Linked DNA regions of Drosophila melanogaster. Changing the gene in region 1 together with any one later gene gives a genetic interaction. Each region holds a gene or a part of one and is shown in the gene's direction. Other genes may lie near its edges.

The links.
Region 2: of Rpn11 (region 1) and Txl, changing one suppresses a phenotype caused by changing the other (phenotypic suppression), as found in Drosophila melanogaster (one study listed by BioGRID).

What each region holds. Positions count from the first base shown.
Region 1 is NT_033779.5:5,057,615-5,061,561, reverse strand, and holds Rpn11 (regulatory particle non-ATPase 11), read left to right. Parts: upstream 1-1,771; 5' UTR 1,772-1,932; intron 1,933-2,002; 5' UTR 2,003-2,011; coding exon 2,012-2,776; intron 2,777-2,885; coding exon 2,886-3,047; 3' UTR 3,048-3,158; downstream 3,159-3,947. Other genes in the region: Nepl3 (Neprilysin-like 3), read left to right, coding at 3,426-3,947. UniProt on the Drosophila melanogaster protein: Metalloprotease component of the 26S proteasome that specifically cleaves 'Lys-63'-linked polyubiquitin chains. The 26S proteasome is involved in the ATP-dependent degradation of ubiquitinated proteins.
Region 2 is NT_037436.4:5,763,830-5,767,584, forward strand, and holds Txl (Thioredoxin-like), read left to right. Parts: upstream 1-2,016; 5' UTR 2,017-2,180; coding exon 2,181-2,546; intron 2,547-2,603; coding exon 2,604-2,887; intron 2,888-2,946; coding exon 2,947-3,160; 3' UTR 3,161-3,255; downstream 3,256-3,755. Other genes in the region: CG10576 (uncharacterized protein), read right to left, coding at 605-767, 830-966, 1,258-1,355, 1,512-1,599; Ppat-Dpck (bifunctional phosphopantetheine adenylyltransferase - Dephospho-CoA kinase), read right to left, coding at 3,307-3,755.

The sequences.
Region 1 (3,947 bases):
TGTAACCAGATTGAGTGCATTCACGTCATTTCTTCGAACGGGATTGATTTAAGCGTTGACAAGGTCAATGGATAGCGTTTAAGATGCCCAAGTCAGATGTGAAACTATTTAATCAATGGCGAAATGGAGCACGTTTCTTTTGTTTTCGGCCTAAGCAAATACCAAGCAGCTGTTTAAGTAATTAAAAGTACACAGAGCGAAAAATTTGCTGAGTTCACTAGCCACTAGAATAATAATACTTACTTTATATGTGAGAGTAAGAACTCAAAGATACATTAGTTTAAAGTAATCATTTGGAATTACTACTCGTTTGATTTACTCGATTTAAGCACACACATTATTACCGAATTTTATTTTTTGTGTACTAATAGAACACACACACCCCCTGTAAAAAAAAAGCTCTCTAAGTTCGAGTCTCTCACTTATCAACAATAACAATTTTGTGGCTGTGTTTCGTTGGGTGATAAGAGGGCAAGTCAACAGCGAAATACAAAATCGACACAAATATGTCGGTCTCAGCTGAAATTCGCCACCTTTCAGCTAGAAGTATTCACAATTTGTATTTAATTACCTGAGTTTGGCTACGCTTGCGGCAAATGAGTGCACTATTTGCTCGCAATTTGTATGCGAATAATTGCAAATATCTTGAGCACAACGTTTAACCAAGCGAAAAGTATAAAACTATTAAACTTTAACAACAATTGTGTGGAGTGCGCGTGCTGGAGGCGAGCGACAAAATGCAACTGAAGCTGAAAAGCCGAGCGGCGAATGGAAAAGTCTGCTGGCAGATGGAAAACCTATTGTTCAATTACCAAAGCGAGACGGAAAATGGAGTAGTCCGTGTGTTGCAATCGGATGGATTTTGGGCTTTGGATTTTGTAGCCGGTGTGTGGCGTCGTCCCACCTTTTGATGGCATTTTAAGCGAATTTTCGAGCGTCTGGCGGTCTGGGAATCTCTTAATCGGAATCCCCATCGCCAAGAGCGAGGTGAAAGGCATAAAGAAGGCGCCGCATCCAAAAGGCAAAAGGTTTTTGGTGCAATTAATTGGCACAATAAAAACAAAAGGCGGCTCTGCATTGTACTTGCTCAAATTGTTTCGGTTTTGCCGGCGAAGACCTCATTTCCCATGGCATTTGACGGGCGGATGGATGGTGCATTATAAATTTTGTGGTGTTCGGTCTTGCGGAAAGTCTTAGTTTTCCTCAGCTCACTTCACTTTCGACCACACTACACACTCATTCTATTGTTGTACCAAATATAACATCGGAATACACTCTTTCCAGTACTTTCAAGTCCTTTGAGTTTGCTTTTTAAGTTTTATCCGCTTAAAAATTTCGAGCTTGGCGCCAATTCCCATTATCGATAGTTTTATGTATCGATATAAAGACAGTGTTGATCAGTGCTGGCAAATAGCAGACTTAAATATATGCTAAAATATTCCACAAACAAATTGACTACTACAAATAATCTGAAGAATATAGAATAAAATATTACAGCGGACTCTTTATAATTAGGTTAATTTTATTTTTATATGAAATAACTTTGGTAGAAGTAGCCTTTCCAATACATCCTTGACAACAACTAGTTAATTTCATTATTCCCTACTATAGTTACGTATTCTCATATTATTTACATAACAACAACTAAAGCTTAGCTTTGATTACACATTGAACGTAATTGAAATATTTTTATAGCTTTGCTATAATCAAGCTAAAATTTAGGCAAATCGTCATCTCCTCCCGCCGATAGCTTTTCGATAGGCGATGAGCGATACAACCCTGTTGCGAGTATTACTTGCAATTCTGCAAAATCAAACGAGACGGCTTTGTGTTTTTTGTTGCTGCTTTCGACGAGGAACGTAAATTACACGTAAAACAGTAGGAAATAGTTGATACTTGCCCCCGATCACAGAGTGTCTACAAATCCCAGAGGTGAGCACTTGGCTTAGTCAGCGCTTTTCGATTGTTTCTAACCCCGATTCGTATCCTTGTGCCCGGGTAGCCGCATAAAATGGATCGTCTGCTACGTCTTGGAGGTGCTATGCCACAGGCCGCCCCGCCCACAGATGCGCCCGTCGTAGACACCGCCGAGCAGGTGTACATCTCGTCCTTGGCCCTGCTCAAGATGCTTAAGCACGGACGGGCCGGCGTGCCCATGGAGGTGATGGGTCTGATGTTGGGCGAATTCGTGGACGACTACACGGTGCAGGTCATCGATGTGTTCGCCATGCCGCAAACGGGTACTGGAGTATCCGTAGAGGCCGTGGATCCCGTCTTTCAGGCGAAGATGTTGGACATGCTGAAGCAGACGGGTCGACCCGAAATGGTCGTCGGCTGGTATCACTCGCATCCCGGTTTCGGCTGCTGGCTGTCCGGCGTGGACATCAATACGCAGCAATCCTTCGAGGCGCTGTCGGAGCGAGCCGTAGCCGTCGTCGTCGATCCCATTCAGTCTGTCAAGGGCAAAGTGGTCATCGATGCCTTCCGCCTGATCAATCCCAACATGCTTGTGCTGGGACAGGAGCCCCGGCAGACAACCTCCAATTTGGGTCATCTGCAAAAGCCCTCCGTACAGGCCCTGATCCACGGGCTCAATCGCCACTACTACTCGATTAGCATAAACTACCGCAAGAACGAACTGGAGCAGAAGATGCTTCTCAATCTGCACAAAAAGTCGTGGAAGGACGGCCTCACGTTGTCCGACTACAATGAGCACTGTTCCATCAACGAGGACACCGTGGCCGAGATGCTGGATCTCGCCAAGAACTACAACAAGGTGGGTGATTCATCATCTCATTAGATATTAATTTATTGGTTGGTTAGCCAATTTAATGAAAAACTAGAATTTTTTTGGATTTTCATTGATTTCCCTCATTTTCTTGCAGTCACTGGAGGACGAGGAGAAAATGACGCCCGAGCAGCTGGCGATCAAGAACGTGGGCAAGCAGGACCCCAAGCGGCATTTGGAGGAGAAGGTGGACAAGGTTATGCAGAACAATATTGTGCAGTGCCTGGGCGCCATGCTGGACACCATAGTCTTTAAGTGAATTTATGCATTTGCTCTCCTCAAACCAATTTCCCTTCATACCCACAAATCGCTAAGCTAAACGTATTAACTGATAAAAAAAAAGGCTTTTGTTCAGAGCAGAGTTTTACACAAAGTGAATTTCGTTTTTTATTTCGTTACAACAACTGGGAGTTTTGTTTATAGTTTTCATAATTCAAGTATAAAATGATTGGTGAGTTTGGAAAAAAAAAAGTGCGTCGTGACACGAAAAAGCATAATTAAGCATATGGTACAAAACGATTTAGGGTCACACCGCAATTCGCCAAAACAACAGATTTAAAATTTCGTATAATTTCATCAGGTTTCTTAGAAGTCATTGCTGATTACTTCCAAATGCCGCATCAGTTGATGAGTTAAGATGATGGAATCCAGATCGTACCTCAGCCTAAGCTGGCTGCTTCTTCTTCTGTGCAGTACAGTATGTTCTGCAAATCCCAATCTCGAGATCATGAAGCGAATGCTAGACGACATGGATGAAAAAGTCGAACCATGTCACAATTTCTACAACTCCTCCCAAAAGAATCTCAAGTGGCATGCATTTGCGACGGTGAGCGATCAGTTCCAACTCCTCTTCGACGGAATTGAGAACGAGGTGTTCGAGAAGCACAGCTTCGAGGAAAAGTTGCAGCGTCTATACAAAATCTGTTCGACCATGGAGAGACCCAGTCTTCTGAGGTATTTTGAGCTGGTGAAGCCGGGAGAAGATCTCAACTGGCCCTTTCTGACGCCCCGAGGAGGCAAGTGGCCCAAGGAGAAGTTTCAGTGGATGGAGGCACTGGCTCGACTGCGTCGGTACGGCTTCAATGACATCATGTTTGGAATGAGTATAAGACAGGATCCGAACAGTGACAGTGGCCAACCCATAGTAGTTTTTGAAAAA
Region 2 (3,755 bases), on another chromosome or scaffold:
TAGTTCAAAGCAGAGATAAAGAAAACATTCCAATTCCCTTTGACTAATCTTAATCAAATATCATAGTATACTATAGATAACGCAAAATAACAATAACTGATCGGCATTATCATTGCGATTGTGGACAACTTTAAAGACCGAACATTTCAAGTATCTAAACTTGTTCAGTTCACGAAATCGACACTGTTGATCTCTGCAGACGTTGAGCTGTGCTGAGCCACGAGTTAAGGCAGCAGACAATCCGTTGCCTGCAGATTACAATTCCGACATATCTATAAACTGGAGATGTGGACAAATTTAAAGACCGAACACTTCTATGGAATGAACTTGTTCAGTTCACGAAATTGACACAGTTTCTATCCGCAGGTGTTGAGCTGATCTGTGTCAGAGTTTGAGCGCAGTCAATCCGTTGCCTGCAGAAGAAATAACCTTGTGGACAACTGACAAGAAGCCTCCAGTCCTGAATAATAGGCCAGGGCAATTACCAGCTGCCACAGCTGATCTTTGCAAGTGTTGAGATGTTCAGTCGCTGGAGAATCGCGGCAGACAATCCGTTTCTTGCAGGGATTAACGGAGGATTACCTAGAAGTAAGGGAGGACTCACATTGGCGCCGGACTTGAGCAGACGTAAGGCAGCCTGGACAGCCCAGTAGGCGGCGAGGATGACATCGGCCTGGCGACCACTGATCTTCTGATCCGCAGCAGCGCCTACCACAATTGTGTGAGCGGCCACGGCAATGAAACCATCAATGTGGGCACCCAGATCGCTGTAGAAAAGAAATGTTACGTATTTAGTGGCGGTATATGTGGAATAGGAGGTTCAACTTACATTTTGACCACATCACCGGCCTTTAACGTGTAGTCAGCATCGTTTTTGGCTGGCGAGAAGTGGCAGACACAGTTGTTGACGGACAGACAGGTGGGAAAGGCAATGCCCTTCTTCAGGTCTTTCTCCTTTTTGTATACCTGTTTGTGAAAGATCGATAAAAGCATTAGATTGCTTGTTCGTTGTACTATATATCAATGATAGTGCGCGGTGTGTCCTCAGATCTCATAATCTGTAAATCCTCGGGACCTTTTGGAGAGCACACAAGCCGGGCACGTGGAGCATTGGAGTCCCCGCGTGCGCCTGGCGACCACGAGGTGATCCCCAGCCCGCACAGCACATGGCTCGCCATCGGGAAACCCTCAAAGGTGTAAGTCTTAATCATTGGACATGAAATTGGCGCGAATGACCGCCAGGTGGCCACCACTTACTTTGCCGGTCTCCTCGGTGAGCTGATTGTCGCCCTGGGTGCAGATCTCCCGGACGGAGGCATCAACCACGCAGAGTCCAATTACCGCCTTGAGGGTTTCTAAAATTAAACGAGCAGACAGAGTCCAGAAATAGGCAGATTAACCAACGCGTGGCGCACAAGGGAAAGCGGCATTCGGTGCATTGTGTAAGCGCCACGTAGCAGCGACTCCAGGAATCGGCCAGCGTTCGCTGTTTCCGGCCAAGGAATACTCACTGTTGACGATTTCGCCGGCCAACTTATACTTGGTCACCACCAAATCCTCGGCGATGGTCTTCTCGGGCTCCTTTTCCACATCTGCCATTGTACTTGACTCTAATAATTTTAAAATGGCGACTTAATGAAAATGCGACCGACTGAAACACCACGAGGTAATGAACGTGTGGCCAGGCGCAGCGCAGGTATCGAAAGTTCCAGTGGCGTGTATGGTGGGACCGCTCATTCGCCTTGACAACCCTGGCAAATGGGCGGTAAGCTTAAGATGAGCGTGAAAGCGTAGATTGCTAGTCGTAAACACTGAATGAATTTTAAATAACACTTTGAGCTATATCAAATGAGAATATTTCATAGTTTTACATATTGTAATCCACTAATATTTCAATAAAAGTTTAAATATTAAGTTTCGGTTTTTTTCTATTACACATAAATGGTCCCTCTAAAAATAGGAAGTCAAAGAGCTCGAAATATCGATACCATCACAGTGTGACCGCTTGTGGAATACCGCATTCGGTATTTTTCTTAGCACGAATTTGGACTAAATGCATATTACAAGTCATCTTTAACAAAAAAAATTTGCATTGAACGTTAATAATAACATTTACTTGCTTAAATCCAATTCGGCTGCCGAAACAAAAGCTCAATTAATAGAAACCTAATCCTATCACCATGTCCGTGCGCGTGATCAACGACGAGTCCCACTTCCAGGCGGAGTTGGCCCAAGCGGGCATTCAATTGGTTGTGGTGGACTTCACAGCTTCGTGGTGTGGTCCCTGCAAGCGGATTGCGCCCATCTTCGAGACGTTTCCAACAAAGTACCCAAAGGCCATCTTCCTGAAAGTGGATGTGGACAAGTGCCAGGACACGGCTGCTGGACAGGGCGTTTCGGCCATGCCAACATTCATCTTCTACAGGAACAGGACCAAGATCGATCGCGTCCAGGGTGCGGACGTCAATGGGCTCGAGGCCAAGATCCAGGAGCACATCGGTACATCCGGTGGCGAGGAGGGGGGCGAGGATTACGGGCAGGGATTGGTAATATAGTGCAGTATTTGGAAATGTTCCAAAAATAATCCCTAATCCTTCTTACAGATGGAACTGAATACATTTATTTCGAAGCAGGAGTGCGAGTGCCTCAACGAAGCTGATGACCACAACTTAAAGCACGCCCTGGCCTCCGCCGGTGGCTACCTGCAGTCCGATTGCGATGAGCAGCTCATCCTGTCCATCACCTTTAATCAGGCTGTGAAGATCCACTCTTTGAAGTTCAAGGCACCTTCGCACCTGGGTCCCAAGGATGTGAAGCTGTTCATTAACCAGCCCCGCACGATTGACTTTGACATGGCCGAGTCCATGAACAGTGTGCAGGATCTAAGGTAGCTATTGCCTTCTCTATGGCTGCTTAGCTCTTCTCACTGTTCAATCCATTTTGCAGCCTGGCTCAGAAGGAGCTGGAGAGTGGAGTGCCCGTGAATCTGCGCTACGTCAAGTTCCAGAATGTGCAAAACATCCAAATCTTCGTGAAGAACAATCAGTCAGGTGGCGATGTGACGCAGATTGATTATATCGGCTTCATCGGTTCCCCCATCATGACCACCAAGATGAACGACTTCAAGCGAGTGGCTGGCAAGAAGGGCGAGAGCCACTAAGGTTCCATTGAAATTTTCAGCGTTTTTCCCCAATGACGTCCCAGCATTTCTTTTCAACTTTGGACTTACAACTAAACAATATACAACAAATGCATAAAAAATCATACAAAATAAGGATCAACAAGATAATCTAAATATCCATCGGGTTAAAGGCTGCTCTGGTAAGAGTCCAGTTCCTTGGTAAGCATTTTCCACGCACGCTCCGCCTGTTTCTGGGTGAATTCGTGATCCCATTGCGAACTGAATATCACATGCGACTTGGCCACGATCTCAGAATTGGGCACCTGACTGGCCAGTCGCTTTTGGGCCTCCACTTCGCTCAACTTGTTGCGCTCAATAATCCGCCGCACAGCCTCATCCGGTGGCACAATCATGGACCACACCTCATGGCAATTGGTCTCCCAGCCCGCTCGCAGCAGCACCGCTGCCTCCAGGACCACCACACGCGGCACGTCCGCCTGGGAACGCAGTGCATCCAGCCGCCTGTTAACCTCCGCAATAAGTTCCGGCCAGACAATGCCGTTGAGTGCTTGCAACTGCTTGGGATCGGCAAACACCAAGGGTCCCAGCTTGGACCGATCGATGCGACCATCGT